Danio rerio: one gene and its partners. The protein of the gene in region 3 interacts with the protein of the main gene of each other region in a pairwise test. Links are inferred from orthologs where the notes say so. Each region holds a gene or a part of one and is shown on either strand. Other genes may lie near its edges.

Region 1 (10,890 bases), on a different chromosome or scaffold from region 3:
GCTACAATGGTAATGAATGATGTATTATCACATCACTATTTTTTTTTTTAATTAGGTCAATAAAATATTTTTTTAATTAGTACACTTATTCAGCAAGGATGTATTAAACTGATCAAAAGTTATATTTTTAGGAATTAAATGTTTACAAATGATTCATATTTAAAAAATAATAATAATTTATTGCCTATTTGGTAAAACTTTATTTTGATGGAAGTGTTCATAAGACTGTTATGAAACCTTTATAATCAATATCATAATCATAAGTTATTTTAAGTGCATTGTTTTACATGCTTTTTTAATAACTTGACATAGACAAATACATCATAACCTGCCTTTGTCTTTTTCATCACAATTCAACATTACCAAGAAAACATGAATCATGTTATATCTTAAATAATGGTATTAATCTGTCATAAACTTGACTGTCATGAGACCATTATAATTAAGTCATGAATTTTACAACAGAGTTATTAAAGTTTTTGTTGACCTCAACTACAGTGGTAAAAATTGAATTTGGCATTAAAATGTAATTAAATATTAATGGCACTGTTCTAAAATTAGTATTGACACTTTTACTGAGAAATTTTAAACGATGACATATTCTTTTTCTCTGAAAAAAGTAATCAGAAAAATATTCATGACACAATTATAATGGCCTCATGACAATTATGTTTATGACAGATTTATGATAAGTTTTGGTGTTTTGATAATATCAAAACACCAAAACTGTCTTGACAAAGACAGGTTGTGATGTATTTTGATTTGCCACGGTGTCATAACAAAGCACCTCAAACAATGTCACCCTTGCATATAAAATGACAACTGAGCGAATAGGATGCTTTCACACTTGGTTCAATTGCCTGGTCCAAACCCAAGTTCGATCGTCGCCTCTTACCACCTTCTCGGCTGGTTTGTGTTCACACTGTTTTTTTACTTCTGAACCCCGGTACGTTTGCGTCATGGAGCTGCTGTTGTGTGTACAGCTGTTGCTAGGTGACAACCACAAAAGCAAAGCGCCAAAATGGAAAGACCTCCACACATCGCAGTCGTTCTGCTTTTACTGTATCTTTTGGTTTTGGACATACAGAAAGTGACTCGCGTCCATCCGGCACAAAAATTTTATAAATGTTCAGAACATAACGCGATGTCCGCAGAAGCTGTTAATGGAGGAGACAAGCAGACATTATCCTGCTTGGCACCAAAGTACATTATGTGATACATAGACAAACACATACACACACACAAACGAACGTTATGAAAACAATTTGTTTGTTGCACTGTCGGCGGTTCACTTCTGTTATTTGGTACGATTGCATTCATACCAGAAATAAACCAGACTAGAGTTTACATGAACCGTACTTCAGCCCACCTCTTTCAGGTGGACTCAGGTACAGTTCATGGGTATGCACCCGAGTTCTCTGACGTCAAACGAACCTGGGTGCAGACCAAAAGTGCTAGTGTAAAAGCACCCTTAATGACAGTTGCATGCATACAAAGAATCTGCTTCACATTCATGACCTATCACATCATATTTTAAAGGTGTCATGATAGTCTTATGAACACCCCTTCAGAAAAAGTATCCGCTTGTTAAGTGTGACGTCACGCGAAATGACTTTTGGGTCCAAGCGCAACATCAAACTGTATGGGGAGACCCACCAAATGGTAATAATAAACATTTACAAAGCGATGTAATACTTTCGAAAATCAAGATCACAATGTATAAATTCATGCCTAATATCCGATGGCCAGAAAGTGATTAATTATTGTTTTTTAATTGTTAAAATTTTGGTATTTGTGATGCAGCAAGTCCAGAGACTGTTGTGTACACCATGATTTTATAGAAAATTCACTGCAATGTGTGATAGGACTAAAAAGTGGCCATAGACGAATATTTTCTCACTTCAAATAAGTAACGGCTTGGTACTCCATCCGTCACCGATATGTCACGACTTAACAAGGGGAAGACCGTTTAATCATCAAATAATCCTGAAAAACATATAGGGCTAAATCATCAGATTCACTATTAGATCATTAGATTGATAATTAGAGAATTGTTTTCTTTCGAATGCTGAAAATTAAGCTTTGATATCACAAAAATAAACTGCATTTTAAAACAATAATAATCTTTCACAATATGAAACAAATAATCAAAAACGAATTCTTTTGGAAACCTTAAAAACTTATCAATCCCAAAATTCGGTATGAAAATAATTTCTACTAAACTCTGTTTCATCCACAATCATCTATGTTGCTTACATCCTAGAAAACTTTACTATTGAGCTGATGTCATCAAGCACTTATATTTTCCATCCCCTCCCCTCCTCTCCAAGCACCTGCCATACAGCAGTCATTTTGAACAATCTAATCAGTGTGTACATTCAGTAAATATGCTGAGAATTGGGTTTCTCGAAAACTTCAACACTATAGCTTAGAATATAACAGTTTAAGGGCATAGCTTCTGCTGTTGTTTGTTTTTCAGGCATGGAAAAGTGTCAAGCAATGGCTTTCATTCTGGCCACAGACCAAGTCAGAGGGTAACAGGAAGCATTATCTGTCCTGTGTAACTGATATGGGGGGTCTAATTTTAGCTCAGTTGAGAAAGTCACTTCAAGTGTGTGTCTGCCAGCAGAGTGCAGTCGAATGTGTCTCCTGAAACCAGAGCCTGCTGACAAGACTCAAAGTCCACAAACATGTCTGGGGAAATTCCAACCAAACCCTAGAAACCCTCTGAAAACGTCTCTCCAAAAAGAGACAAGCAAAAGAAGAAATTGTTTACCAAAAAATGTTCAAGCTGCTCTTTTAACACACAATCATACGGGTTTGGAGCGGCATGTGGGTGAATATGAAGGATTTTTCATTTCTCAGGTAAATTATTTTTAAAAAATGCAAAATAATCACGATGGTCAAGAAAACATTGTATTTTAACAAAAGAAGCGCATTCGTACCTCAACCAGGTTAATTAAGTGCAAGAGGAATTCATGGGCATCTTGTTGTCGATTTGAGGAGAACTCTGGATGTCCTTTACTGACCAGCGCTTTGAACATCTTAGGTGAAATCCCCCTTTGCTGCTGCTGCTGCAGAAGAAGAAAACAACATGATACATCTAGGCTCAGGGTCACCAATTGCACTGTAAAATGGCATCACTAAATCTGTTGAGTGGCATACTTAAACACTCTTAAACGGCCACTCTTAAAACTCTAACTTTAGGAAAAACTCTAACTTTTGTTTTTAAATACAGCATGAAGATAAAATAAAAAGTCAATGCAAGATACAAAAACATAATATGTAATTGTGAGTGAACATGGTCTCTCGATCCTGATTTTTCCTCAGAATTTTTAATTTGTGGTTTAATTATAAACTTACAACAATTTTAACTTTAAGATATAAACTCAAACTTGTAAGAAACACACAAATTCCATATAAGCAGACAATTCTATAAAATAAATCCACAAACTATAAAATCAGAACAGAACTTTCTTTTCTTCATATATATCTCAATGCAGAATTGCATGGGAAAAAAATGCCTTGGCTTTTTAGCAATTAGCCTATGTCTCACAGCTATGATATATAAACTGAAAATTGTGTGATGTAAGCTTATGAGTAAAGCTTTTTTTTTAATCTCCAGCAGTACAAAGCTTTCATAGGTAGGTGCCACATTGTGTTATTGCTTGTTTGCATAACATCCATAAACGTTACTCAACTTTATTGTATGCTGTTTTCACTTCAAATTCCTAATGATTGGCATCCAGGTTAATTCAAATAATTGTCCGTATGCAAGAACCATAAAAGCAAATTTACACTGAACTGTCAGACACCATAAACACCATAAACACAACCCAGTAAGAACCAGTTGAATCAGTGAAAACACTTGTCTGTTGCTATTGGGTGCAGTGTAAATAACCGTTTTCAAAGTATACTACGGTTAAAAAAAGTTTTCTGCCATACCGTTCCCAAGGTATTTGTAAGATTTTTTATTTCCATTTTTTTTCTAGTTTTTTTAGGACAGTATCTTTAGTACAGGGGTGTCAAACTCAATTCCTGGAGGGCCGAAGCCCTGCACAGTTTAGTTCCAACCCTGCTCCAACACATTTACCTGTAGGTTTCAAACAAGCCTGAAGGACTTAATTAGTTTGCTCAGGTTTGTTTAATTAGGGTTGGAACTAAACTGTGCAGAGCTGCGGCCCTTTTGGAACTGAGTTTGACACCCGTGCTTAAGTAGAACAGTATCTCCAGCAGAAAACAAATCCAAAGATGGCGTTGTTTTAAATTGTGAAAAAAAAAAGCAGCAGAAGTCAATGATTCAATTGAATTATTTAGCCAGAAATGTTTACTGTTCCAAAATATCTTAAATGATTCTCAAAATAAAATATATTGTGTTCAACGTGGAAAAAAAGTAGGATTTTTTTACCCAGACACTTAAAATAATATATTTTTGAGCAGAAATTACAGTACTGTGAAACCGTGATATTTTTATCCAAGGTTATCATACTGTCAAAACCTCATACCGGCCCATTCCTGGTGTAAATTGGCCTTAAGATTGTCTGACTGTCATATGTGTAAAAATGCAAAAAAAAAAAAAAAAAAACATGCCAAAGGCTGCAACTGCTAATCTTGTAATTGTAACCACAGACGAGCCAACTTAATTAAGCCAAATATCAACAAGACAGACCAAGTCAAATACCTTGTGTTCTTCTTTCATCACCTGTTCAATAAGTTCTGATTTCATTGGAGGTTTAGAGTATTGGCCTGAGAGAAGTCCATGCCCAAGTTTTGCCCTTGAAAATAACCAATTTAGATGCCATGTATGAATCACGCAAACTTAAGATAGATATCAAATGCTGTTAACATTTCAAAATATTATCAATCAAACTTATATTACTGGTAATAAAGTTTGGCATAATATTGCAATATGTTATACAGTACTATAGGCGAAATTTAAAAAAATTGAAGTTTTAAAAATAAAAAATATAAATAAATAAATAAATAAATGTAAAATGACAATAAAAATTACATGACAAAAACACCTACATCTGTGTGTTGAAATCCTGAGTTGGATCGAGGGGTGAGTAGTCAAATATTCTCTGTAGGTTCCCAGCATACCTACAATAAATGCAATAACATATTGTCGAGAAAGGCACATCCATACTAAATTCATTGTGTAAAAACCATAGATTGAATATGGTTTAGAGTCTGGCACACACACATGCTTGTTTTTGTAAATTGTGAGGACATTCTGTCTGTTTACATTATTTTTATTCTGTACGAACTGTATTTTCCATCACCCTATCCCTAAACCCAACCCTCACAGCAAACTGTGAGCATTTTTACTTTCTCAAATAAAATAAAAATATCATTGTTTATGATTTATAAGCCTATTGAAAAATATAGACATGGGTAATGTCCTCATAAGTCACTTTCTCCTTGTCTATCAGTGTCATAAACTTTTTATTATACAAATTTGTCTCCCGATATTTCACACAAACATGCACACACACACACACACACACACACACACACACACAAATCAAACTGTAGTAAAGCAGGTTTTGTCATAAATGAAACTTAACACAATGGTAGGAGTATGTAGGAAGCTTGAATGTACTCACGCTCTCTGGAACTCTGGAATACTGAAAAGCACTTGCATAGTGGTGCTCAGGTAGCAGCTGTTGCCCAGGTTTTTGATGCCTGTATATCCTGAACCATAGACAGGCTTTAACTTTAGACCTGCCTCCTGAATCACTTCCCAGTCACTGATACGCGGTTGAACGTGGTTGTCTGTATGATGGCCATTCTCTGTCTGGAAGGTAAGCACAAGAACAATCCAAAAGGTTGAAAACAGAGAACGTAGCTTGATTTTGCTTTATCACTACACACACCTGCTGAGCATAAATGAGAACATGCATTTTTGAATATGTATAATTTGTATTAATTTATTATACTTAGTCAGTAATTTTGGTGCATTTAAATAAATCAATTTTATCAAACAGTTATTTCTATTAAAAATTGTTTGGTCATCTTTAGGAATAAGCAAATGAAAATTTACAAACTACAACTAAATGTAATATTTTTATGTTATTTTTCTTCTGTTTATACATTTTTTATTTAAGATTTTTTCCCAAATTATTTAACTGGGTGTACTAATTTTTGGACCTTAATCTTAAGTTGTTTTGTTAGATTATAGTTCCATTTTTTATTAATTGCAAAACATGTGTATAAATAATACACACATAATATAACTGACACAACCTCTTTTACTGAAATAGTGCCTAGTTAATAACTGAACTATAAATTTGTAATATCATTTTGTACATTCTCATACACTCTGCTCATGTCAATATGAGCTATGTTAATAAAAATCCTGTGATTCAGTGAAAATGTGAGATTGTCTGTAAAAATGTTCACAATCATTTTAAAAAAGGAAACAGTACATTGCAAGTATACTTTACTGGCTTATGTTCATATTTTATCAGAGCTTCATAATCAGTGCTGGATAGTAACAGATTATATGCATTCCGGATTATGTAATAAGATTTTAAAATGAAAGTACTTGTAATCAGGTGTAATCTACCCAACTCTACACATAATATATACCATAGCATAGTTACATTTGACATATTTGTAGTCTTAGCCTTCAGGTTTCACTGTATTAAAGATAACAGTAAACAGACTGTGGATCAACATTTTAAAAATGAACTTTTAATGAACTGTTTTTAAAAAAATGTGTAAATGTTAATAATTAATACCACTTGGATTATTATCCAGTTAAGCAATTACGCAAAGGAATGATCAAAAGAATAACCAGTTATTAAAATAAAAATTTACATTTAAGAACTTTTAAAAATTGTGATTAATACTCTTTACGTATCTTTACATAGTTAGATAGTTTTAAATATCATTTGATTTTGAACAATTTGTAAATAAAAAAATAAAACATACCCTTTGCATTTGTAGCATATCAATTCCGAAATGTAATAAATGTTCAGATATGTGAGGATCAAGTACTGCTTCTTCTTCATCAAAGGAATAAATATCTGCAAAAAAAAAAAAAACAGAAACAAACAAAAGGTGAGTAAATGATGAAAGAATTAGCAGTTTTTGCTAATTTTTAATATACACTCACCAGCCACTTTATTAGGTCCAACTGCTTGTTAATGTAAATGTCTAATAAGCCAATCACATGGCAGCAATTCAATGCATTTAGGCATGTAGACACGGTCAAGGTGATTCAAACTGAGCATCAGAATGGAGCAGAAAAGGGATTTAAGAGACTTTGAATGTGGCATGGTTGTTGGTGCCAGATGAGTATTTCAGAAACTGCTGATCTACTGAGATCTTCACGCACAACCTTCTTTAGGGTTTACAGAGAATGATCCGAAAAAGAGAAAATATCCAGTGAGCGACAGTTCTGTGGGCGCAAACGCCTTGTTGATGCCAGAGGTCAGAGGAGTATGGCCAGACTAGCTCCAGCTGATAGAAAGGCAACAGTAACTCAAATAACCACTCCCGAGGTATGCAGAAAATCATCTCTGAAAAGCACAACATGTCAAACCTTAAGGCGGATGGGCTACAGCAGCAGGAGACCACACCGAGTGCCACTCCTGTCAGATAAGAACAGGAAACTAAGGCTACAATTTGCTAAGGCTCACCAAAATTGGTCAACAGAAGATTGGAAAAATTTTGCCTGGTCTGATGAGTCTCGATTTCTACTGCGACATTTGGATGGTAGGGTCAGAATTTCAAACTGCCTTGTATCAACAGTTCAGGCTGGTGGTAGTGGTGTAATGGTATGGGGGATATTTTCTTGGCACACTTTGTGCCCATTACTACCAACTGAGCATCGTGTCAACGCCACAGCCTACCTGAGTATTGTTGCAAACCAAGTCCATCGCTTTATGAAAACATTGTGCCCATCTTCTGATGGCTACTTCCAAAAGGATTAAATGCCGTGTCATAAAGTATGAAGCATTTCAAGACTGGTTTCTTGAAAATGACAATGAGTTCACTGTACCCAAATGGCCTCCACAGTCACCAAATCTCAATCTACTAGTGCACCTTTGGTGGAACAAAAGATTCACATCATGGATGTGCAGCCAACAAATCTGCAGCAACTGCGTGATGCTATCATGTCAATATGGACCAAAATCCTATAGGATTATTTCCAGTACCCTGTTGAATCTATGCCACAAAATATTAAGGCAGTTCTAAAAGCAAAAGGGGATCCAACCTGGTACTAGTAAGGTGTGCCTAATAAAGTGGCCGGTGAGTATATGTGTGCGTGTTATATATGTAGGTCAACATATTTCCAAAAAGACAAACCAGACATGAAGAGACAGTTACCTGCTCCATCTGGGGTGATTGTGTTGAGTTTAACTGCCAGGGGGAAGTTGCTTTCTCTGTAGTGCTCAAGGGCATGTCCGTTCCCTCCGCTCCCATCAAAGAACCATTTCCCACAGAGGACAGAGCCATCCGTCAGGTTTAGCCACAGGTTCTCTCTCATTTCACACTTGGCACACTTCCATCCGCTAATAGGACATAAAGCATATTGAAGACATGGTGAGACAGGACAGAAACTGCTCGTATTGCAGTTCAGGTGATGCAGGTGAGGCTTTGTTACTCTATAATCCACAGACTACATGCTGCATTCCGTTCGTGCAGACAATGTCTGATTAACTCAACACATCAACAAATAAATTGGCTAGACCAATCAACTGGCTGCTATTTTTTTGATAATTAAAAAATGTAATCTCCTTTACTTTTTTATTAACTATTGCAAAAAATGTGATTGCTGTAAATGAAAAAAAGTTAAAATATTATATTAAAACATTAACATGAGATTTTTTTACAAAAATATATATATATTTCTAAAGCATGAATAGTCCTCACTTTAGATTAGGTCACAAAACTGCTGCATTAATAAAGTTGTGTTAATAAAGTATTTATTAACCTACATACGTAAGTAACTAATAATTTATGGTTGGAAAAATAAAATATATAAATGTTAATTTCAATAGTTTATTAATCATTTACTTACTCATTCTAAATTATCTTATAAAACACTAAATAAATAACCGCTTTGTAAATAATGCAATACTTAACTTAGTATTATGCATGTGATGTTAAGTCAAGAACACAGCATTTGTAGCTGTAGTAATGAACTGCTTACTAATGTCTATTATTAATGCTTTATAAATGGTTAATTAACTATTCGCTAATGCTTAACAAATGATGCATAAAGTGTCATTATTATAAAGTGTTACCCAAGTGTTTATTTAACAAATCTTGCTAACTGATCCATAAGCCTTATTAATCAGTAATATTTTTATATATCATTATATTACACACTCTGCTCTTTAGATATTGGCATCTGTATCTGTATGTGTATGAGACACTGAAAAAAGCTTTACAATTTTGACAATATTAGCATCCACTATTTACCTTTACATTTACATTTACATTTAGTCATTTAGCAGACGCTTTTATCCAAAGCGACTTACAAATGAGGACAAGGAAGCAATTTACACAACTATAAGAGCAACAATGAATAAGTGCTATAGTGCTTTACTCATTGAGTAGATGCTTTTATCCAAAGCAACTTACACATGAGAATAAAAAAGCACTCCTTATAAACAGAGAGCTGCAGTATATAAATGCTATGACAAGTTCAAGGTTTTTATTTTGTCCTGAGAGAAAAGAGTGTATTAAATCAGCTAATATCTGAGTCGAATAAAAATTATTTATTTGATCAAATTTGATTTATATAGGAACTTAACGATCTAGGTGCAAAGTCTCAAGCACATAATGCAAAAGCATTAAGGGCATGTCTGAATCCACTTTTGCTATTTTAAGGAAAGAAAAATACGCTCTATGCTTCAGCGCATGGTCTAACAGGGTTTGGCTTATTTTCTTAATGAGGTATGGGTGTGTTTTGAGAATAAACCAATCAGAGTCTCATCTCTCATTCCCTTTAAGAGTCAGTTGCATCGCGCCATGGCGCATTTGCTGTTCACATGGCAGTCTTTGTAATTGGAAAAACTGAATGCTTCACTTGCAGGAAAACCGTTAAACAGACCATCTGCAGCGCGAGGAAAAAGAACGAGCCTCTTCCAAACGACATCTTTACTTTCTCTTTCTTTTTCTCTCTTTCGTGGATAAGGAAACAGTGTTGTACGCACTTCACTGAAGACATCCATTAGCCTACATATTTAATTTTGTTTGTTAAAGGCAATGATTTGTTTCAAAACTATTTCTAAATTCAGTTCTAAATCCCAGCAAAAACAGGTGGATAAATCTCAGCTTGTTTTTATTAAAAAACAAATATAAATATGCAAATAAAAATAATAATAACAATAATAATAATAACTTTATACAAAAGCAAGTTGTTGTGAATAAACTGAAAAAAAAAACACAGAGACGAAGAAAGCATGGAGGCGGTGTTTTTTACATTTATGTAGAAAGTAATAATTTCTGAAATATTTTAATCCCTTAATTCTTTTTCATTTGTTAAGATATTTATGTATTGCACTACATGCTGCGTGTATTAAGCAATGCGTAAGTGAGGCGCACAACTAACGTGCTCTGCGCAGGACTTTAAACCTGCTTTCAGCTACATGGCGAGGCAGTTCCTCAAAATAGCAACGTGCTAACAGTGTGCCTTAACACGCCTTCTTCATAGACCAGAACACCCATGAGTCCACATAGTGGTGCAAATGGATTTGCTATTTAAACAATGTGGCACAAAATGGGATAATTAGGGTTGCGCTGGCCTGAAAATAGCAAAAAAACGCACCAAACACGTCTTGTGCCTCATTGCGGCGGGTGTATGATAGGGCCCTACGTCTAACTTCTTATCTTTTGCAATCATGTACATATTTGTTGGAGAAAAAAAAGGAG
Region 2 (10,990 bases), on a different chromosome or scaffold from region 3:
ATACGGTTTAAATATTTATAATGTATGAGTTATGATTTTGTCCTTGAGGAAATTGAAATGCAATGTACCTAAAATTACTTACACATTATAGACATATAGATCTAACTACACTCAATGGCCACTTTATAAGGTAGACATGTCTCTAAGGAATCTCTTAGGAATATTTGAATGACCACTTTGTTGAATCTATGCCACAAAGGATTAAGGCAGATCTAAATGCAAAATAGGGTCCAACTTGGTACTAGTAAGGTGTAACTAAAAAAGTGTAAATAAATAAATGCAACGGTTTATTTATTTTTTTATAAACGCTTTTGCAAAACTCTTCACACAGTGAGCACAACAGAAGTCTTTGTGAGCTAAACTAAGGATCAATTATCATTGTTTTGGCACAAAATGCATTCAATGACTACATCTCTCAAACTCTTTTTTTCTCACTCAGACACGACAACTGCCAAAAATCTTTGTACATACAGGACGTTTTGTCCGTGCTTACATACTGTTTTCCAAATTGTTAAACTTATGTTCAAAACAGTAACTTGCAGTTTTTCTTCATTGCTTTGATGCAGTCGTCAACTGAATCTCCACGTTTTCAAAACAGTAAACACACAAGCCTAAACAGCGGCACTCATGGTCAAAATGACACATTTGCTTGCAAAACGCACATACCGTGTCAAAACATTTAAAATATGCAACAAAAGCTAGTTTTACCTTCAAACAACACAACTTTCAAACAAGTATATGAGCTCTTTCAATCAACCATACCACAATGGAATACAAAATACAGAACTCAGTGTGCATCATTGCTTGCCATTGTAGACTATTGCCAATGCCGTTTATTGTCTTTCTATTTGGGCTGTCAAATTTGCCTTTTTGCAAAGAATTGGATCCAGAATAAGACATGCTTTGATTACTGTAAATATTAGAGAAAACATGTGTAAACCAATAAACAGTCAAATCTATTAGCCACTTTTGACCTCCTCCATCTATGCTAGCACTGAAGAACACAGACCTTCCACCGTTTTCGATGTTTGCAGACTGATTGCTAATTAAAGATTTGTGTGATGGAGTGTCAAACCGGTGCTTCAGTGAATTCATACTGATCTTGGTAGTTTCTAATTGTTAGGAATAAATGGTTTCTGTTTGGTTACCATAGCTAAAACAATGGAGTTTGGACTAATTGAATGACATCAGTGTTAACTGTTTTGAAAAACGGTGGGGAAAATGTGTCAACCCAATGAGAAAGGGTTTACATATTTGCAAGACCTGTCTTCTGCTCTGCTGGGATAGTGATGAGGAGAATAAAGTGGAACCTATAGTTTCTTTAACCAGGTCAAAGCAAACAAGAAAAACTGTAATGCAAATCTGAATAAGACAGCAAAATTCAATAGCAATATTTTATTGAAACATATTACAAATCTAAAAATGCAGTTTAACCAGCCTGAGCTGATTGTCATTGTAGATGAACATCTACACAGGTGTTACTTCCAATTTCTTTACAAATGGAGACAACTGCTGAATAGGTTTGCATTGTGATGTAAACATGGACCCAGCCAGAAATAGAGAAGTGGCTGAAAGAGAAACAAAGATGGCTGGGATGGAGCAGGCATGCCAGAAGATTCTTTCCTATACTGTAGGTGTATTGCCCTAGAAGACATAAGATGTGATGTGGATGAAAACCTGTGGCCAAATGGAGAAGATTGAGTTGATTAGCAATTGTTGAAATATTCAATAAATTCCATGGGTGTTCAATAAAAAAAGGTCAGGAGAGGGTTTTCTTCAATGTCAAAAATCATAATTTATTGGATTCAAATGAATGTTTCGATTCACAGAATTTTGTTATCCTCAATGCAATGCAAAAGTTGCATTACGGAGATGTGCAACAACTTTCATTTCCTGACTTCAACTTATATAGGCAGCTGATATTAACAGGTGGAGTTTAGTGAAATTCGTCATTCATTGTCCAGTGCGCCATTGGTCACACCCCAGACACGAGTCCTATTTTTGTATGAATTTTCTGCACAACAATAAAAACACAAGATTTTCTGTGTACTGTGTTCAGTTTAACATCTTTCTTTAGACAGAAGAGCAGCATGTATCTACTTCTGCAAAAATGCTAATTAGTATGCACAGCATCTCACACACAGCAGTAGAAGTTCAGTTAATATATGACCCTTAAATGACCGAAACAATTATTCGTTTAATTTGTTTGATGAAAAGAAAAAGAGACAAAAACAAAATAATACATTCCTTTTTCCTAACACATTGCTATTGTATCTGTATCAGTGGATGATGAATGATGTGTATACAAATTCTTGTATTTTGGAATTACTTAAAATTAAGAATAAATAAATAAATGACACAAAATACTGACAAATTCTGCATCTTGTCTGATTCATTCCAATAACATATTGCAGTTTTAAACAATATATATTGCTATTATAAACAGAGATTGTTTTACACAAGAAAACAATGTAATGCCACAAGTTGTTAGTGTTTTTATGTGTCCTAGTGTCTTTAAAAAAAGCTATAACTTTTATAATACATTGATATGCATATTTACATCTTGCATAAGCATCCAAAAAACCTGTGAACTTCATATGCTTGGCCATAAACAAATGTAGCGCATACTGTATGTCATGAGTGATCTACAGGAACGGCTTCATTACTGGAGTGATGTGACGTGGTTTCCTGGCTTTCATGCTTGTGTTCATGACTGGCATTACATTTCCATACCATAGTGTGCTGAGTGGCCAGATTGCATAGAGGGGGACTGTAGAAGAGTGAGGTCAGTTCCTGTAAAGTCCCAGTGCGTCACTGACAGAGCAGTCAATGACAGACAGGGGACAGAATGTGTGTGTAACATGAGAATCTTGACCGTCCACATCCTCTGTCCACACAGCGCTATATTCATCTGATGAGTGTACACAGAGCCAGAACTCACTGAACACATGCTCTGGCCATGCTTTTTAATATTAACTCTATGTTTGAAGTACAGAAAAACACATTGATTTAACTATTATTGACATTATTATTGATAATAATAGTATGTGGCCAGTGGAAGGTTGTTACAACTTTCCAGCTATACTATGTTACTAATAAATGCAGCAGACTTTTATATTTAAGCAATGTTTCTGTAAGAGATTACCAGTATAAAAGAAGATTACCAGCAGGGAACAACTGCCGCCACATGTTTATAATCTCATGTCTGTTTCCAGATCTGAACACTGCTTAGTTTCCATTGAGAGACTTATGATGTCTGTTAGCAAGGTCATTGGAGAAACAACTGTCACAATAATACACAATGCCGTAGAGATTTTGATGGAGAGACAGAACAAGAACAGATAGAAAGACAGACAGAGCGATCGTTAGATAGTGCTGATAAATACATAGATAAATCTGGCATCTTTTCACCATAAGATCATATTGATACTTATAGCCAGCAATTCATTATTTCATCTAATACCAATATAGTGGAATATCTATCATTATAGAAATGTAATGTGCTTAAATTGCAGAACCAACAAATTCAACCATATATAACATGAATATTAAATTGAACTGGAAAAGAATTGCAGAATCTATCATCAACAAAAAAGCACTTTATTTTTTATTCAATAATATAAAAAAGTAAATCATGTTTGGTCTCACTTTGTAAATACAATCCATTAGTTGATATTCCATTTATTAAGCCATAGTTTAATACAGTTTATACATTTTTTACAGTCACTTTGGTCCATTTCTCAGATCAGAATTGAAATTCTGTTCAATCTTCACATCAGTGTGGTACTTCTGCAAATCGAAAAAGCAGAATCTCATTCCTTTGATCAAATTGCAAATGCTTGCATACATCCATGTAAAATGATTATGTGCAATTCTCTGATAAAAATTATTGTCATTATGTAATTTATAATATTAATGTATTATTTTGATCTCTGTTTTGACCCCATCACATTAAATCGTTTGTTCATGGCATAAGTCTTTACATGCAAAATGGCTAAACACGTTTTAATTTGACTATTTTTTTTCCTAAATCTGTTTACAATTGATAAGTTTCTCCCAGGTGATCTTGACTTTTTCTAATGAAGGTGCTTCTCAGAGGAGATTGTCCAGTGTACACATTTCTACTTTTGTTTTTTCTTTGTGCTGTTATTTCCAGCCTGATCTAACGAGAAAAGTATTTTATGTTTTGTCAGTTTAGTCGTACGAAATTGTATGATTTGAAAAAGGAGGCGTGGCACTTAACCCCACCCCTTAACCCAACCGTCATTGGGAGATGGGCAAATCGTACTAAATTGTTCGAATAAGATCATACGAATTCATACGAATTAGCCACTAAATGAAAAAGTTACGAATTGCCGTGAGATTGTGTTGGTTTTTTCATCACAATGACATGATCTGACAACAAATTACGGTACAAACAGCAAAAAAAGCATCAGAAAAACCCTTTACAGGTCACATCAAAAGACCCCTTCAGAATACACTATTATATTGACAGCATGGCTAAGTAATTTGACTGTCATATCCGTACACAATGACACAACATGTTCATTGACATAGAAACTTCGTTTTAAGAGATGAACTAAGGTTTTTGAGCAAAAGACTGGGTTTTGCAGATAATCCATGGTGTTCTGCTATTTGTATGTGTTGGTTTTGAGAAATGCACTTACTGTTCTGCAAAATTTCAATACTGATCTGAGAAATGTACCAAAGCGACTGAGAAAAACTGTATTGGCATAATCACTATATGGTGGTATTGATAACAAAGCTGGATGGGTGGGTGGGTTTTACAGCTTAATTTAAAAATGTAAACTTATTGTAGTTTTATTATCCATGGTTTCATGGTGATATCTATGAAGACAGGTGAAAAGACACATTCTCTGAAATTATATAGAGAGAGACAGACAGGTAGGTATGTAAGAAGATGGATGAATGGATGGATGGATGGATGGATGGATAGATAGATAGATAGATAGATAGATAGATAGATAGATAGATAGATAGATAGATAGATAGATAGATAGATAGATAGATAGATAGACAGAATGATAGATAGATAGATAGACAGAATGATAGATAGATAGATAGATAGATAGATAGATAGATAGATAGATAGATAGATAGATAGATAGATAGATAGATAGATAGATAGATAGATAGATAGATAGATAGATAGATAGATAGATAGATAGATAGATAGATAGATAGATAGATAGATAGACAGAATGATAGATAGATAGATAGATAGATAGATAGATAGATAGATAGATAGATAGATAGATAGATAGATAGATAGATAGATAGATAGATAGATAGATAGATAGATAGATAGATAGATAGATAGGCAGGCAGGCAGGCAGGCAGGCAGGCAGACAGACAGACAGACAGACAGACAGATAGAAAGATAGATAGATAGATAGATAGATAGATAGATAGATAGATAGATAGATAGATAGATAGATAGATAGATAGATAGATAGATAGATAGATAGATAGATAGATAGAATGTGTCATGGAAATATGAGTGGTTGGGGATTTCTCAGGTCTTATATCCCTATCCCAGCGCTGTGTTAGAGAGTGTGTGTATGAATGTTTGGATATGTGGGTGTGTGAGTGTCAGATGACATATGTGTAGACAGTGTGTACAGGGTGATTCCATCAGACAGAAATAGCTGCAGAGTTGTATAAAAGCCTGAGACACACACTCCAGCGGACAGAGCAAAAGGAGTCCCTCGCTCACACTCAACCAGGACAAGAGACAGAAAAAAAGCACTGAATATACCAACTTGTAAATCAGGAAAAATCTGAAGCTGAAGATGCAGGTTTGCTCAGTCCTGGAGAAGAAAGGAGGCTGTGTGGTTGGAGCCGAGCTCAGCTGCAGCGTCAGGGAGGAAAACCCAAATAAGAGAGAGAGTTACACCGCTGACTGGCGCAGCATCAATATGAAGACACAACCTGAGGATCGGTGAGAAAATCATATTTTTGTTGTGATTTCTAATAAGTAATCATGTAGTTATTTGTATTATACTACTTAAATATTAAATATTATTTGCTTTTTAAAGCATGTGTTTCACAAAAAGGCTGTGCTAATGAAAAATATGTATATTAATGATTTAAACAAGATCAAGCAAATTAACAGAAATCAATAAAAAGATTAGGAACAAGTTAAATTTATTATTAATCCTATGCAGTTTTTCCTCACCAGTAGGCTACATTTATCATTTAAAGGTATAGTTGACTCTAAAATGAAAATGTTTTCATAATTTTCTCACCCTCAAGTGGTTATAAACCTTAATGAATTGCTTTCTTTTGTTGAACAAAAAAGAAGATAATTTGAAGAAAGCTGAAAACCTGTAACCATCGACTTCCATTGTAGGAAATATACATCCTATGGAAGTAAATGGTTTTCAGCATACCTCAAAATAAATTTGTGTCTAACAGATGAAAGCAATTCATAAAGAAACTCAAACAGAAACAAGTTAATAAAACCAGAATTTTCTGTGAAATATCCATGCATCTTTAGACATTTTTAAAACAACTTAGATCATTTATATTTAGTGCATCTTAAATTAATATTAAACACATAAAAAAATATCAAATCTTCCCTCTCATTTATAATTCTCCATGTTTCTCTCTCTCCAGCCAGTCGATGCTGATGTCAGACGATTCTCGGCGAGAGTCTCTATCCCGTTATTGGCAGGTGCGTCCTCTCCATCAGGCCTGTCCGTCGGGTGTGCGCAGAGTGGGCACTGTGGATACGGGTGTAAGAGAGCACCAGCTCTTGCCCTACAGGAACAGCCTGCCCCTTCCCATCTTCAAGCCTGCAGAACTGGGCGTCCGCCTGGGTCGTGGAGCTCCACACACCCTGGAGGATCTGCCACCTGTCCGCATCCCTGACGGAGTTTGTCCAGACAAGAGAGCAGTGGAACAGATCACCAGAGACCTGCCGCCTGTCAAACCCATGCGGATGGAGTTCGCCAAGGCACCCAGAGCTCTGGGACGATCAATGTCTCAGGAGGCCCAGAGAGGCTGAAAAGCAGGAAGACAAATATGAGTCAAAGACTTTATGGACGTTATTAAATAATGAGGCAATCAGAGGGAGAGAATCAGAGGGATTAAGAATGTAGAAACTGATTTTAGGAAAAGTAAAACAGCAAGTTTAGTGAGTGAAATAATGATAACAATCATAATGAAATAATATGCAAATGATGAAATGTTCATAAAGGCTGGGAAGAAAGAAAGATGATGATGATGATGATGATGATGACCTCGATGACAAGCCTAAAGGTTTTGTTTGGTGGGTTTTGAGTTGTAAATAGGATCTGCTTGTTTTGTATTGTCAATGTTCGAAGCACTTTTAATTGTAAGGACACAGGTTCATTTTCTGAGCTTGTGTTGATGTTTTTTTCTGCATGTCGTCAGGGTTGTTCATGCAAAAAGATAATTAAGCAAAAGAGAAAATTATTTATTTTTGTTAAAACTTAACGCCAAATAAGAATTGCACTATTTATTGACTGTTGATAATTGTTGACTTGTTGAAAGCTGATAATTACTTTAATAAAAGTTTTATCGGATCAGACCTGTTTTGTGTTTCATTACAAGAGAGAAAGAAAGAAACTTGTTTAAACAACAAAGCACAAACCCCGCCCACAAACAATTCTTGACATTTCATTGGTCATTTAAGTTTGTTTATTACAAAGCACTGAACAAATAATAACCTCAAACCTAAAGTTATTAATAGATTAATTAGTTAATTACATATTTTAGATATATAATAGATAGATATATGTATATATAGATATATTTATATTTATAATAGATAATATAATATTTATAATATGTATATATAGATATATTTATAATAGATAATATTATATTTATAATATGTATATATAGATATATTTATAATTAATAATATTATATTTATAATATGTATATATAGATATATTTATAATAGATAAAATTATATTTATAATATGTATATATAGATATATTTATATTTATAATAGATAATAATATATTTATAATATGTATATATTGATATATTTATATTTATAATAGATAATATTTTATTTATAATATGTATATATATATTTATATTTAAAATAGATAATATTATATTTATAATATGTATATATTGATATATTTATATTTATAATAGATAATAATATATTTATAATATGTATATATAGATATATTTATATTTATAATAGATAATATTTTATTTATAATATGTATATATTGATATATTTATATTTATAATATATATATTTCTTGTGTTTGGAGGAAAAATGCATGTGTGGAGTGGATTTTTTTTACATCAATTATTCAGATTGGCATGGATGAATATGATCATTTGAGGAACATGTTAACAATGTGAAAATATATCTGAACAATTTACACTATGCAGAAAACCATTCAAATGGGGGAAATAGTATTTAAGAATCTTAAAGCAAATTTCAACCCTCAATTCACTGGTCAGTATGCCATAGTTGAGAGGATTGATTCGGAAAGCAGTATGTCCTGGTGCAAGATTTTGAAACCAAAGATAAGCAATAGAGTCTGGGGTTGTGCTGAGGGGTACAGTGCTGAATTGATTTACATCATACATCTCTGACAGGAAGTTTTTTGTCAAGATTGGTAACTTTTCCTCGTCTATGGCACCGTTAACGTGTGGTCTTCCGCAAGGCTTGATTTTAGCACCTTCTCTCTTCTCTCTATATAGGTTTTATTTTCAAGAAATATGGCCTGTATTTGTATCTTTATGCGGACGATACACAGATTTATCTGTCAGTCAAAAAGGAAAATGACTCCTCTGTTGTGAACTCCCTGTCACTGCACCTGGAGGAGGTAAAGGCATGGCTTTCTGAGAATTTTTTATTTTTAAATGAGGAGAAAACAGAGGTTATTGTTGTTTGTAAACGCCCCAGGTTTGGCAAAATGGAGGAGTTTAAATCACCCCAAGTACATATCCTGGGCGTTGCATTAGATCAGAACTTAAAATTTAATAAACATGTTTCAAGTGTGGTTGGAAATAGCTTTTATCAACTTCAACTTATTTCTAAAATTCAATGAAATGAATAAAGTCTTCCCTCACTTCACGTTCTTGAGAAATTGTCATACATTCTTTTAGAACCTCCCGGTTAGACTATTGCAACTCTTTCTATTTTGGGCTGCCTCAGATCGATCACCTATAGTGCAAAATGTAGCAGCTAGATTTTTAACAAAAAGCCTGAAATATGCATGCCACTCCCATTTTAAGGACTCTCCTTTGGCTACCGGTGAGACAAAGAGTCAAATTTAAAATCCTTCTCTTTATCCTAACACTTGCTTGTTCCGCTGATCAGTTTCTATTAAAAGTCCCAAAGGTCCACTTTAAAAGCATTCGCTATAGCCAGTTCTTGGCTTTGGAATTAAAAATGTCTTCATTAATGCAAATTTTTAAGTCTAAATTAAAGACTTGTCTATTTTCTAGGTCGTTTCAAACATAAGTCCCTTCTACGGGGGGCCTGCGGCCTCGTTTTTAATCTTGTTTAGTGTGGTCAACTGTGGTGGCATCTTTTAACTAGGTGGGATTATTTAAAGGGTCAAATACTTTCTTGTTTTAGGCATTGAAACCAAACTGTTTTTGTATAATCTATTTTACATATTTTATGCTCTCTTTTACATTATGTGCCTATTTACTGTTTTGTTTACTCTGTACTGCTTGTTGTTCTTGTGGCCGTTTGGAAACATGCTATAGAAATAAATTGGACTTGAACTAATATTTGGTAGGGGGAATTAAGATTTTTTATATATATATATTTCAAGTAGTTAATAAAAAGTATTTAGTCAGTAACTTAGGCAGTAAGTTGTGCTGCAGAGACTTGATAGTATGGAGAAAACATTGCGACAGAAATCTGAAAACCCTCTGTTTCAAACTGAATGACTGGATTTTAGGATAAATGGAAAGAACGTTGAAAGAAACTACAATATTTTGTAAGTTCTTTTAAAAGAATAATAAGAAAAACTTCTTCCGAACCTCCATACAGGAATGATGTTGTTATATTGTTCAGCTTTTACAGTAATAATATTCAAAGTGTTAGAATAGAATACATTAGAATACAATTTTCACATTTCAGATCTCTGTAGCATCTTGTCAGCTGTATATTTTCTTCTACTGATGCAACTTTCTCTATAAACTTGAATGTCAGTGGGGAGAAAAAAACAAAAATGAGAAAGAGATTTTATGAAAGTTTAAGTTTTTTCATCTAAGTAACATGTAGAAAGAGTCCGTTTTAGTTATTAATTTAGAACATGAAAAGCTTCTTGAGAGTTTTTTTTGTTTGTTTGTTTTTTGGACACAATATAGACATAACTTCATTCCTGAATTAATTGAGTTCTTATAATCCTGCTGTCCATGTGTTTTAGAATATTGTTAGCAGTCTCAGGGGAACGTGTTGTGGGATGTGAAAGGCAGGATTGGATGGAATGGAATGTAAAGAGGCAGTCCAGCAGTGGTCAGAACAGACAGTCCTTTGGCATCACAACTGCTCTCATTAGCTTGTTCTTTAAAGCAATGCTTAAAATACTTTGGGTTATAGCTTTCTGGTCATTTTTAATTTTCACAGTAATAATTTACCTTTGATTGTATTGTAAAATTAATAATATACTATCTTGTAAATAACATACAGTTTTAGAGTGCATTTAAAATGTATTTTTCTGCTTGTGAAAACAACAACAATAAGGCTCATATAATAAAAAGTAAATAAGGAAGTTCAGACTGTTGATTAAAAAAAACAATCAAATCTATACAAAGTCACATTAAGCATTCTATTGAGCTCTATAGAACAGAAGGGTGAACAGGAGCTGTGACTGTGGTACATGCTGTCTGATTCATCCCCCAGAAAGCATTCAGTGATTCTGTGCCAAGAATGTCATCTCTGAGGACACTGACTTTGGATGCCTCTCTCTCTTTCTTTCCATCAATTTATTTCTTTCTGATTTCATTACT
Region 3 (10,890 bases):
TTGTCCTTCACTTTAGTCAACTGGTGAAGTTTGTTCCTCGCCACTGTCATCACTGGCCTGCTTGGTTTGGGACTTGTGGAGCTGTGCATCGAGGGATTTGCTCTTCGCTAAACTGAACCTCAACTCTGAAAACTGGACTGACACAGCTGCTTTGACACCATCTACATTGTAAAAGTGCTATAGAAATATAGTTGCCTGCCTTTCGTTCCAGAAGTGACAGTTTGAATCCCTTCCCAAGTGGGATGAGTAGAATTAGAGGGGTTATAGTGGTGCCATGACCCAGATGGAAGCCAGTTTTGGGAGAGGTAAGCATAATGGAGGTAAAACTGACTTCTCTGGTCTTAACTAAAGCACTAGCCTCGGTCACTAAAACCAGGGGAGTGTGGTTTTGATGACCTCCATTACTCCAAAACTGCACACCAATTCCAATAACCTAAATTATGAAAAATATATCACTTAAGGTATTGTGAATAATCTCAAATAGGCAGTCAAATCAGCCAATCAAAATGCATTCTGCTCTAATTCAAGCGTGACACACGATGCAACTGATAGGTCAAATAAATATCATTCTTGTTGTGAATGGACTTAAAAAGTGTAAAATCAAAAAGCTGCATTTTCTCAACCCACTTGAGTATAAAGATACCATCAACTCCACTATTCTGACAGTGTCTAACGCCACATTTCTGCTGGTTCTTTTTAAAAATTGGCTTACAAATTTGATTTAATATACTGAAAAGACGGCTGGCTTTTGAATTGGTTGCTCGAATCAAAATTTGAAAACATCTCAAGGACTTCTGAATGGAGCGTGAAAAGGTTACTTTCATGCAGTAATCAGTTCAACAAGCTAACCTGATTTAAACCCAAACATGTTGATAGCTGAAGCTTAATCAGGCATTTCAGGTGAAGTCATACCTCTGATGAAGTCAATATTGCGCAGGGCCCTGCCCTCTCTCTTGAAGTGTACAGAGTAATGATCCATGCTCTCATAGCCGCGCTCCACTCTCTCCAGGTGTGAGGTATTCGATGCCTTTGCAATTCTAACAAATAAGAAATCAATCTGGTGTATGTTCAACATGAAAAATACGCATTAAGGTTGCAGAAGGGATCGTCACTTACTTTTGCAGAAGGGGTTTAGCATTCTGTATGACGTAAGAGAGAAAGGGGTTATTTATTTTATGAGAGGATAACATAAAAAGTATGAGATTATATTTAAAATTTTTTCAGGGTTCCCACACATTTTTATGAATCAGTTTTCATGATTTTGTTAAATGGACTTCTGTGCCAGCATTTTGAATTAATGGAGTTCAACATATATGCTTTATAGCGTATTTATAACATAATATAACATTTTAGCATGTTTTCCCCTAAACAGCATTTATATATGATCTATCATAAAATATCAACTTTTTCTAAATTTCTGTTTAATGGAAAGGTTTTTTTCAACACATTTCTGACTATAATAATTTTAAAAACTCATTTTCAACAACTGATTTCTTTTTACCTTTGCCCTGTTGACAATAAAAAATATTTTACTAGATATTTTTCAAAATACTAGTATTCAGCTTAAAGAGTTTCTCTAGGTTAATTATGCAAGTTAGAGTAATTAGGAAAATTATTGTATAACAGTGGTTTGATCTGTAGACATTCAAAAAATATAGCTAAAGGGGGCCTATAATATTTACCTTAAAATTACCTTAAAAGTTTTTTATTATTATTATTAAAAAATGCTTTTATTCTAGCCAAAATAAAGCAAATAAGGCTTTCTCCCAAAGAAAAATATTATAGGAAATACAGTGAAAATTTTCTTGCGCTGTTAAACATAATTTGGGAAATATGTGAGAGAGAAAAAAGTACAGAAGGGCTAATAATCGTCACTTATTATTATTATAATTATTATTAATATTATTGTGGTAACCCTGTTTCTATAACCTATTGTAGGTTTACCGGACCTGTAAGAAAACAGCCATCTCTGGTTCTTCCAGTGTCTGTATTCCTGTCTCCATGATTTTGGTCATGAACTCCAAATAATCTCCATACTTCTTTGTGAGGCCACGTATGTAGTTCAGCTTCTCTTCCTGTTCGGAACTTACTTTCAGGTTCATCTCTCTCTTCCTTTCCTCAAGAATTGAGTACAAGTGGTCAAACCTTTCACACACCTTGGATTTCTGTCGTCGGCCATTTTCCTGGAAATATGTTTAAATATGAATTTAGTATAAAATGCAATTCAGTCACATTCATAAATGTACAGTTAGATATTTATATACATTACTATAAAAAGGTATAAGGTGTATTTTCTTTAAAAAATGGATGATAATAATTTAGGTTATTATGTAATTTGTTTACAAATATATTCTTTTGATCCCCTCTGTTCATCTATTCATCATTTTGACAAAATATTATGTAGCATCTGTTTTCAATAATAATGCAAAATATTTAAAGAGAATAACCTGCCATCACATGAACAAATTACATTGCAGCATATATGAAAATAGAATATGGTTATTTTAAAATGCAATAATATTACAATAATAACTATGTAATAACATATTAACTATATATATATATGTGTGTGTGTGTGTGTGTGTGTGTGTGTGTGTGTGTGTGTGTGTGTGTGTGTGTGTGTGTGTGTGTGTGTGTGTGTGTGTGTGTGTTTTGCATCAAATGATGTGCGTTAGAACCCTTAAAAACTCCCAACTATTACAAAATCTCCAACCAATCCTAAACCCTCGAGTGTTTATAGCATATAATCTTCCTTTTATTATAATCTGAGCATAAAATGATGCAGGAGAAAGCCACTTAATCTGCACGTGCAATGTTTTAAAATGTGTAACTGATTGACTATGGACTGCCAAAAGTTTAAGATTGATCTTTAGAACTTGTCTAAATCAATAGTTTGACTACCTGTTCCTTTTCTTCGACCGCATCTAACCCTTAACCTTGCGCACAATGACTTTCCGTCAGAGGAGCCATATGCTCAACAGAGACGGCTCATTTCTGCTTGCTTGTCAATCATGGATCCTCTGCGAACGCAACTGTGAGGTCTGGAGAGAGTCCAGCTTCCTGCCTGCCTGGCTCATTGATGCCAGAGCGTGTGGATCTTTTGTCAGAGGAAGCGTTGTTACGTTCCTCATCAATAATCCTGTTGTTCTGCCAGGCTTTGGGGAGGGAGAAGCCCCCACACAGGGTGACTAACCTCTATGGTTCTGCAGGTCTCCTCCAGTTGACTGATGATGCCTTGGATTCTGTCATTATTGCCCACCATCATTGCTATTCCATCCGAGAGCTCTGTCTGGAGATGAGGACGTGCGTAAGCATATTAACACACAACTGTAAAAATATATGCTGCGCCGACAAGCGCATGCATGCTGACGCAAATTCTGCCATACTTATGCACACAAAAATAAAGGGCCCAATTACGCCTTATTTACATCAAGTGACGCAACCTGTATAGGTCATGTGACAAATTTTATTCATACTAGCCATTCGAGATAATACCTACTTAGTATGCAATTTTTAATTGCACTGTATATCTTTATCAGCTTCGCATTATTTATTGTTTAAAAAGCATTTGCTTTGCAACTCTCTGTGTCTGAACATGCACATGACTTATGATAGAAACACATTTGTGACTGTTGACAAGAACATCAGTCATAACTGTAATTCTTTTATTGAATTGAGATTTATACACTATCTGACAGCTTTATTATTAAGCATTCCATACTTTGTTAGGATATATTTGTACCATATTTGAGGTATAACTATGTGTAAACCTTGAATCTGAGGGTCCAAAAAATCTAAATAAGGGGTCACCAACATAGTGCCCTGTTAGGGACTGTTCTAAAAATAGCTCACCACAGTGCCACTTACCAGTAAGTGCCACCTAATATTTTTGTAGCTATTCTTTTTAAATCACAATTGCATTGTGTAAATTTGAAAATGAAATAAAAAAAAAAAACTTAAAAATATTTCATATTAGCATCCACAGCAACGGTGCAGTAAAGGGGAGGAGAGGATTTGAAAACATGGCAAAAAAAAAAAACAGAAAAAAAACATAATTTTCAAAGTGAATATAGGAGGAAGAGTTCTTTTTGTAATTAATTTAGTGATGGCAAAGCACACAATATTGAAAGACATTTCAGAAAGTGTCACGCAAGCTAACATTACCATGCTAACTGCCCACCGGGCAGCGCACTACAAATGGAAAAAGGCTGGAAGGTTTGTGAAAACAGCAGTCTTTTTTTCACAAGAATGGTGAAACCCCCCCAAAAAGCAACTGAAGTCTCATTTAGAGCTACACATTTTTGATTAGAAAAACAAGGCATTTTCAGACAGGAAAGCAAAACTGTGCTTAAAGACTAATAAATATAGCCTCCACTCTCTCCGATGTCCAATTTGGGGCAACAACAATGGTTAGAAGAGTGTCGACTATGTTAAAAATGCTGTAGATTTGGTGATAATTTCAGTAAAATCTGAAAGTTGATTTCTGTTACACAATTGATAATCTGTACGAACATGGTACATTGTAGTGCATGGTTTGTTACAAAATGTTAGTGGCTAGTGAAAATATTGTAGAAGTGATCATTTGAATATGTAAATACTTTAGAGATTTATAGAAACAAAGTGTTGCATATAGATATTTCTGTTTCCTAGCTTGTTAAATCATTGTTGACAACTATTGTGAGAAATCATTTACATAATCAGTGTCTTCACATAGATGAATATTATTAATTATTGATAATAATCTATAATTAAAAGTAAATTGAGCAAATTTGTTATTTGACAAGTGTGTATCAATCTGGTAGCCCTTTACATTAATCAGTACCCAAGAAGTAACTCTCAATTTTAAAAAGGTTGGTGACCCCTGGTCTAAATAATGAGAAAATTGTCTAAATGAAGTGCTTGACAATGCATATTACTACTAATCTACACTACCTGACAAAAGTCTTGTCGTCGATCCCAGTTGTAAGAGCAACAAATATTAACTTGACTTGAAGTTGATCATTTGGAAAAGTGGCAGAAGGTAGATTTTTCAGATGAATCATCTGTTAAACTGCATCCCAATCATCTCAAATACTGCAGAAGACCTAATGGAACCTGCATGGACCCAAGATTCTTGCAGAAATCAGTCAAGTTTGGTGAAGAAAAAATCATGATTTGGGGTTACATTCAATATGGAAGCGTGTAAGAGATCTGCAGAGTGGATGGCAACATCAACAACCTGAGGTATCAAGACATTTGTGCTGCCCATTACATTACAAACCACAGGAGAGGGCAAATTCTCCAGCAACATGGCGCTCCTTTGCATACTTCCACATCAAAGTTCCTGAAATCAAAGAAGGTCAAGGTGTTCCAGGATTGGCCAGCCCAGTCACCAGACATGAACATTACTGAGCATGTCTGGGGTAAGATGAAGGAGGAGGCATTGAAGATGAATCCAAAGAATCTTGATGAACTTTGAGTCCTGCAGGAACGCTTTCTTTGCCTTTCCAGATGTCTTTGTTAATAAGTTATTGGAGTCATTGTAAAGATGTATGGATGCAGTCCTTCAAGCTCATGGGAGTTTTGGTAAAATAAGCGTAATTTAGAGGCCTTTGCCTTTCATTTAAGCCACCTCTGATACCCAATATCAACTACAAGTTATTATTTGTTGTTCCTAAAACTTGGATAAGCTTCAAGACGTTTGTCAAGTAGTGTAAGACTACTAAAAGTTTTGATAGACTTATAATAGGAAATTTACTAAATGTCTTCATGGAACATGATTTTGACTTAATATTCTATTGGTTTTTGGCATAAAAGATAAATCGTTAATTTTGACCCATACAGTGTATTTTTGGCTAATACCTAGTAATAAGTAAACCAGTGTAACTTAAGACTGTGTTGCAGGGTCAGATTTACATAAAACATTCCTCAGTACATCAAAAAATACATAAAAACAACGCTGTTGTTTCCTGTGCTGTTGTTTCATGTTTACTTTACTAAAGCAATCGAACATCTTTGATCCAATCACATTGTGATTGTGTGGTTTTCAACATCATTTAAAATCTTTAGGAAGTTCAACCAATAGAAAATAGATCTCATGTAGGTAAGGTGGGTTTAGGACCAATCAGGCTCTGTTTTACAGTAGAAACAGGCTTTGATTGGATTGATCACATCTCAATTTACAATTACAATTCACCAAAAAAATTAATGGAAAGTCAGCCCTCATCCAGCAAGATCTTATTAGTTTGTACTTATTCTTTAAACGTTTAACTATGTAGAATGTGATCATAAAAAAATGTGTTTCATTTTTTGCGTGGTCCGAATGAGTGTAACTTGTTTACATGCACAAAACTATAGCTATATTACACTTTAAACCCACATAGAAATTGTATATATGTTAATATATGCAAATTACATAAATGACAAAAAATTTAAATATTGTAAAAATGGTCATTTTCATATATATATATATATTTTTCAATCCTTGGAATTACATATATGTAAATTTGTTCAAATATATGAGCTATAATGAATAAATAATTATTAGATATTTAATTATATTAATTTTATATTATTATTAAAGTACATTATTATTATATACATACACATACATACATACATACATATATATATATATATATATATATATATATATATATATATATATATATATATATATCTCATATTATATTAATTCTTTTTCAAAATATATGTACATATTGTTATTCTAAATTCATATGGTTGAAAAATAAATATGTAAATGGACATTATTGCAATATTTTAAAATTTATATATTGCAAATTTATGAAATATAAATCCAAATATGAACTTGTGTCATGTACTGGTTATAATTTGCATATATTTCTATGTGTCAGATTTCTATATGATAAGAAAATCTAATATGTAAAAAAGCAATATGCATCAAAAAGCTACAGTTTTTACCTTTTGCGTCTGGTAAATACTGTCAAGAGGGGCCACTTGACAGTCCTTATGGGCGCCGAACACTTTACACATAGAACAAGTGGGGACGCCACAGGTCAGGCAGTATATGTTGATTTTCTCATCCTCATGAACCTCACACATCGGCTGGTCAACCTTTCTCTCAGGAGAAGGTCTGCTGCTGTGTAAAAAACAGATCTATGAGTATCAAACACTGAGTATGACAAAACAGATCAGTACTTTTCGAAGCCCTCGACTTTGGTTCAAATGTGGACAGGACTCCAGATCAACGGTTAATCAAAAAACTATAGAGTTCACAGGGCCGTATTGAGGGTCTATGATGTGTGTCAGTGTGTCTATGAGACTCAACTCTGACTAGTGGAACTAAAAATAAGTCTGCTGCCAGCTGACCGTCATCCTTAGCCTTCTGACCCATCTGAGTCACAGGTCTCGAGTCACATGGACATCTGTCTATTGCAGTACAATAACATCGGCTGCTTTAAAAGATAAACCTCCCAGCCAAAACAAGCTGTTTTGAGTTTATAAAGTGAAACGCTGAAGTGGGATGCAAAGTGGCGGGGCGGTGGAGAGTTTAATCGTTCAACCTTGGGGAATTTCAATCTTAAAAGCCTGTCTGTTCTCATTATGAGACTTTTCTTTCTTTTCTTTTTTTTGAAAAAAAAAAGTTTCTTCATGAACTTTACTGAATGGCTGGAGGATTATTCCACTGAAATAGGTGTATATTGAAGGTAAATTTAACCACAAAAAAAATTTAATAAATTAAAATGATCCTTTGGTAAATCATAATTCTAGCAAAAAAGTATAATAAATACTCATAATTCATCCAAATTATCCTAATTCATTACAATTTTTACTTTTTGTCATATCTTTTATGTAAATATTTATTATTTAAATTTATTATGGCTTTAGCTCTTAAATTTGACTTTTGATGTCACCATTTAAACTATTTAGGTTGACTTATTATGTAAATGATATAGGTTTGATCTATTTTTTATCTTTTTTTTTATCTTCAAATGTCACAATTACACACACACACACACACACACACACACACACACACACACACACACACATATGCTCAGCATAAATGATTTGAAAAAAATATTTTTTTTTAAATTAATTTCTCAAGGGAATATAGCTAATATATTTTGGTCCATTTAGCAAAACAGATTTATTAAACAGATATTAAAATAATATTTAGTCACTGACCATCTTTAAAATAAAAAGATAATATATTTAAATTCATGTAAAATTCATGTAAAATATTTAAAATATATATATATAAAAAACTAGAAGATTTTATATTTTCCTCTTTATTTCATCTTTTATTTAGGACAGTGGAGGTTACAGGCAAGAAATCATTGGGAGCAGAGAGCTGGGAAGGTTCGACAAAGGATCTCGAGCCGGGAATCGAACTTGGGTCGCCATGAGCACCAGGATGCTATATGTTGGCACACTTAACCACTAGTCTATTGGCACCAACGCTATTCTTATAAATTTGTCTATAATATTTATTCCTAATGTATTAAATTGGGCTACTTATTTTTTCATCTCAATAAAAATGATGTAATTGACCAGGTTCGCTACGTAATTGACGATCGTCTACACCAGTGGTTCTCAAACTTTTTTCATCAAGTACCACCTTAGAAAAAAACTGTCTCTCCAAGTACCACCAAAATGAGCAGCATTGAAATACAGTAGCGTAGTTGGCCCAGTAAAGCAGCTACAACTCTGCACAGTTAAAAAAACCTGGCAGATTACCTCGGAAATATAGCCTATATATAATATATGGCATATTATATACATCATTTTTAATAAATTTTGAATTATATGTAGCATGTACATGACATATTTCATTCCTCCGTGTACCACTAGAAGGAAGCCCGCGTACCACTAGTGGTACACGTACCACAGTTTGAGAACCACTGGTCTATACCTCTCCCTACCCTAAACCCAACCGCCACAGTAGCATGGGCAGTACCTTAGTGGGTGGTACAAGGTTCTTCACGTAGTTGACGATCCCATAAACCTCCCCTACCCTAAACCCAACTGTTATAGTAGCATGAGTGTTACATTAGTGGGCGGTACAAGGTCCGCTACATAGTGGATGATCGCCTACACCTCCCCTACCCTAAACCCAACCACCACAGTAGCATGGGCGCAACCTTAGTGGGCAGTACAAGATCTGCTTCGTAGTTGACGATCGCCTATGTCATTAAGCTGCGGGCTGCAGTGAGGACATCTTGCATTTTTAGCTATACATTTTGACTTTATATGTCAAATTAAATGGATCTCATTTTTTGAACAGTGATGACAAGTTGGTGACCAGTCTATTGTATAAATAAATAGAGTGAATGGTCTAATCTAGTTTATACTACATAGTTTGGGACACAACTGAAGTTTTTCACTGTAGTCAGACAAAACTGCTTCACGAATCTTTGCTGCATTTGCGAATGGTCACCATATGGAGCTTTTAGATTTTCCCTTCTCTGTCTAAATCATTTGTGATTTATTTATTTTTAGGTACTAAACACAAGGGATCTTGTAAAACCATATGGACATAATATTAGAGATTCCCAAAGCATTCGTTTTCCCAGATCTAACCTGATGTACTCCTGTTTGTACATGTCAATGATGTTTTCCACCAACAGGTTTCTCTGCAGGCCGTAAACCCCATGACGGTCCAGCACAACTTCATGTCTGCAGGATGGACACCTGAAACGGCCCCCTGATGTCACCGAGCCTCCTCTGATTGGAAGGTATGGATTTGAAGACTAGAAAGGTAGTGTGCATGGGACAGCAAAATAATAATCATTGTATTACTGGAGATATTATACAATTACTCATGTCTTAAGATAACCAATATTATAAATTATTAATTATTGTAATTTAGTTTTATGTTCATTTCAGCTATATTATGGCTTTATATACTAACTTTTATCACATAGTCTTGCCTTATTTTGGTGTTATTTCTCATAGTTATGCCTTTTATCTCAGTTTCACTTTATATAAATTTATGTCTCTTAATATTTATATTTGTGACAATTTTGCCTTTTGTAAATATAAATGATCTCTTAATTTACTTTTAATGGCAATTTTAACTTTTTATCTTTGTGATTTACCTTATCACAACTGGTATTATCATATAGTTAATAATATTTAATTTTATGTTATGATTTACAATTAATTACACTACAATTATATATATATATATATATATATATATATATATATATATATATATATATATATATATATATTTATATATATATATATACACACACACACATATATAATCATAAATAAATTAATTATGACTTATAATTTTGATTTGTCATTATTTTAGCTTAGCCTATTATTTACTTTTCAGCTTTTTTCATGACTGTAATTAAAATTAGCATATAGTTATGTCTACGTCAATTTTAAATTCAACGACTGAAGTTTTTGTTCAGTAATAAATCATGTTGACAAACCAAAAACATCGTAATAACTGTACCTGGAATATGTCATTAGCACATTTCCGGCAAAGATTGTGTTGACAGGGAAGAATCACAACCGGTTTCGTGAACATCTCCAGACAAATGGGACAAATAAGTTGCTTCTCCAAGCTGTCCATCCTGATCTGGCGAACAACGGCTCCAGTGAAGTTGAGAATGAGACCGTTTTGGTTCGCGAAAATTAAATTGTTCCAGTCCTCTGTCGCGGGGTGAAATCAGGCCCAAGCGCTTGTCTGTACCCTCTGTAATGAGACTGGCATTCCCGCACGCCAAGGCCCACTATCAGACAGCTCTGTTTTTAGAAAGCAGCACGTCAGAGGTTGCCATGTTTACTTGCCCATATATGAAACTAACGTTGGTTGACCCAATGCGAATCACAATAAACACAAGAAACTCGCAGAGATTCAAGATTAACTCGTTTAATATTTAACTTAATAAATTAAATGATCTTGCA

Evidence for each region.
Region 1: the proteins of trim55b (region 3) and usp13 interact in a two-hybrid assay, tested with the Homo sapiens proteins (2 studies listed by BioGRID and IntAct). The link is inferred for Danio rerio from reciprocal best matches to the Homo sapiens genes TRIM55 and USP13.
Region 2: the proteins of trim55b (region 3) and tcap interact in a two-hybrid assay, tested with the Homo sapiens proteins (2 studies listed by BioGRID and IntAct). The link is inferred for Danio rerio from reciprocal best matches to the Homo sapiens genes TRIM55 and TCAP.

The regions. Positions count from the first base shown.
Region 1 is NC_133181.1:31,933,662-31,944,551, reverse strand, and holds part of usp13 (ubiquitin carboxyl-terminal hydrolase 13), read right to left. Parts: intron 8,523-10,890; coding exon 8,338-8,522; intron 7,032-8,337; coding exon 6,937-7,031; intron 5,798-6,936; coding exon 5,607-5,797; intron 5,101-5,606; coding exon 5,029-5,100; intron 4,776-5,028; coding exon 4,682-4,775; intron 3,075-4,681; coding exon of another isoform or gene 3,072-3,074; coding exon 2,946-3,071; intron 1-2,945. UniProt on the Homo sapiens protein: Deubiquitinase that mediates deubiquitination of target proteins such as BECN1, MITF, SKP2 and USP10 and is involved in various processes such as autophagy, endoplasmic reticulum-associated degradation (ERAD), cell cycle progression or DNA damage response.
Region 2 is NC_133178.1:19,971,562-19,982,551, reverse strand, and holds tcap (telethonin), read left to right. Parts: upstream 1-5,708; 5' UTR 5,709-5,813; coding exon 5,814-5,962; intron 5,963-6,639; coding exon 6,640-7,030; 3' UTR 7,031-7,577; downstream 7,578-10,990. UniProt on the Homo sapiens protein: Muscle assembly regulating factor. Mediates the antiparallel assembly of titin (TTN) molecules at the sarcomeric Z-disk.
Region 3 is NC_133199.1:28,792,306-28,803,195, reverse strand, and holds the start of trim55b (tripartite motif-containing protein 55b), read right to left. Parts: upstream 10,770-10,890; 5' UTR 10,556-10,769; coding exon 10,436-10,555; intron 9,714-10,435; coding exon 9,544-9,713; intron 7,100-9,543; coding exon 6,922-7,099; intron 3,290-6,921; coding exon 3,194-3,289; intron 2,184-3,193; coding exon 1,950-2,183; intron 1,140-1,949; coding exon 1,117-1,139; intron 1,038-1,116; coding exon 913-1,037; intron 1-912. UniProt on the Homo sapiens protein: E3 ubiquitin ligase that plays an important role in regulating cardiac development and contractility, muscle growth, metabolism, and fiber-type differentiation.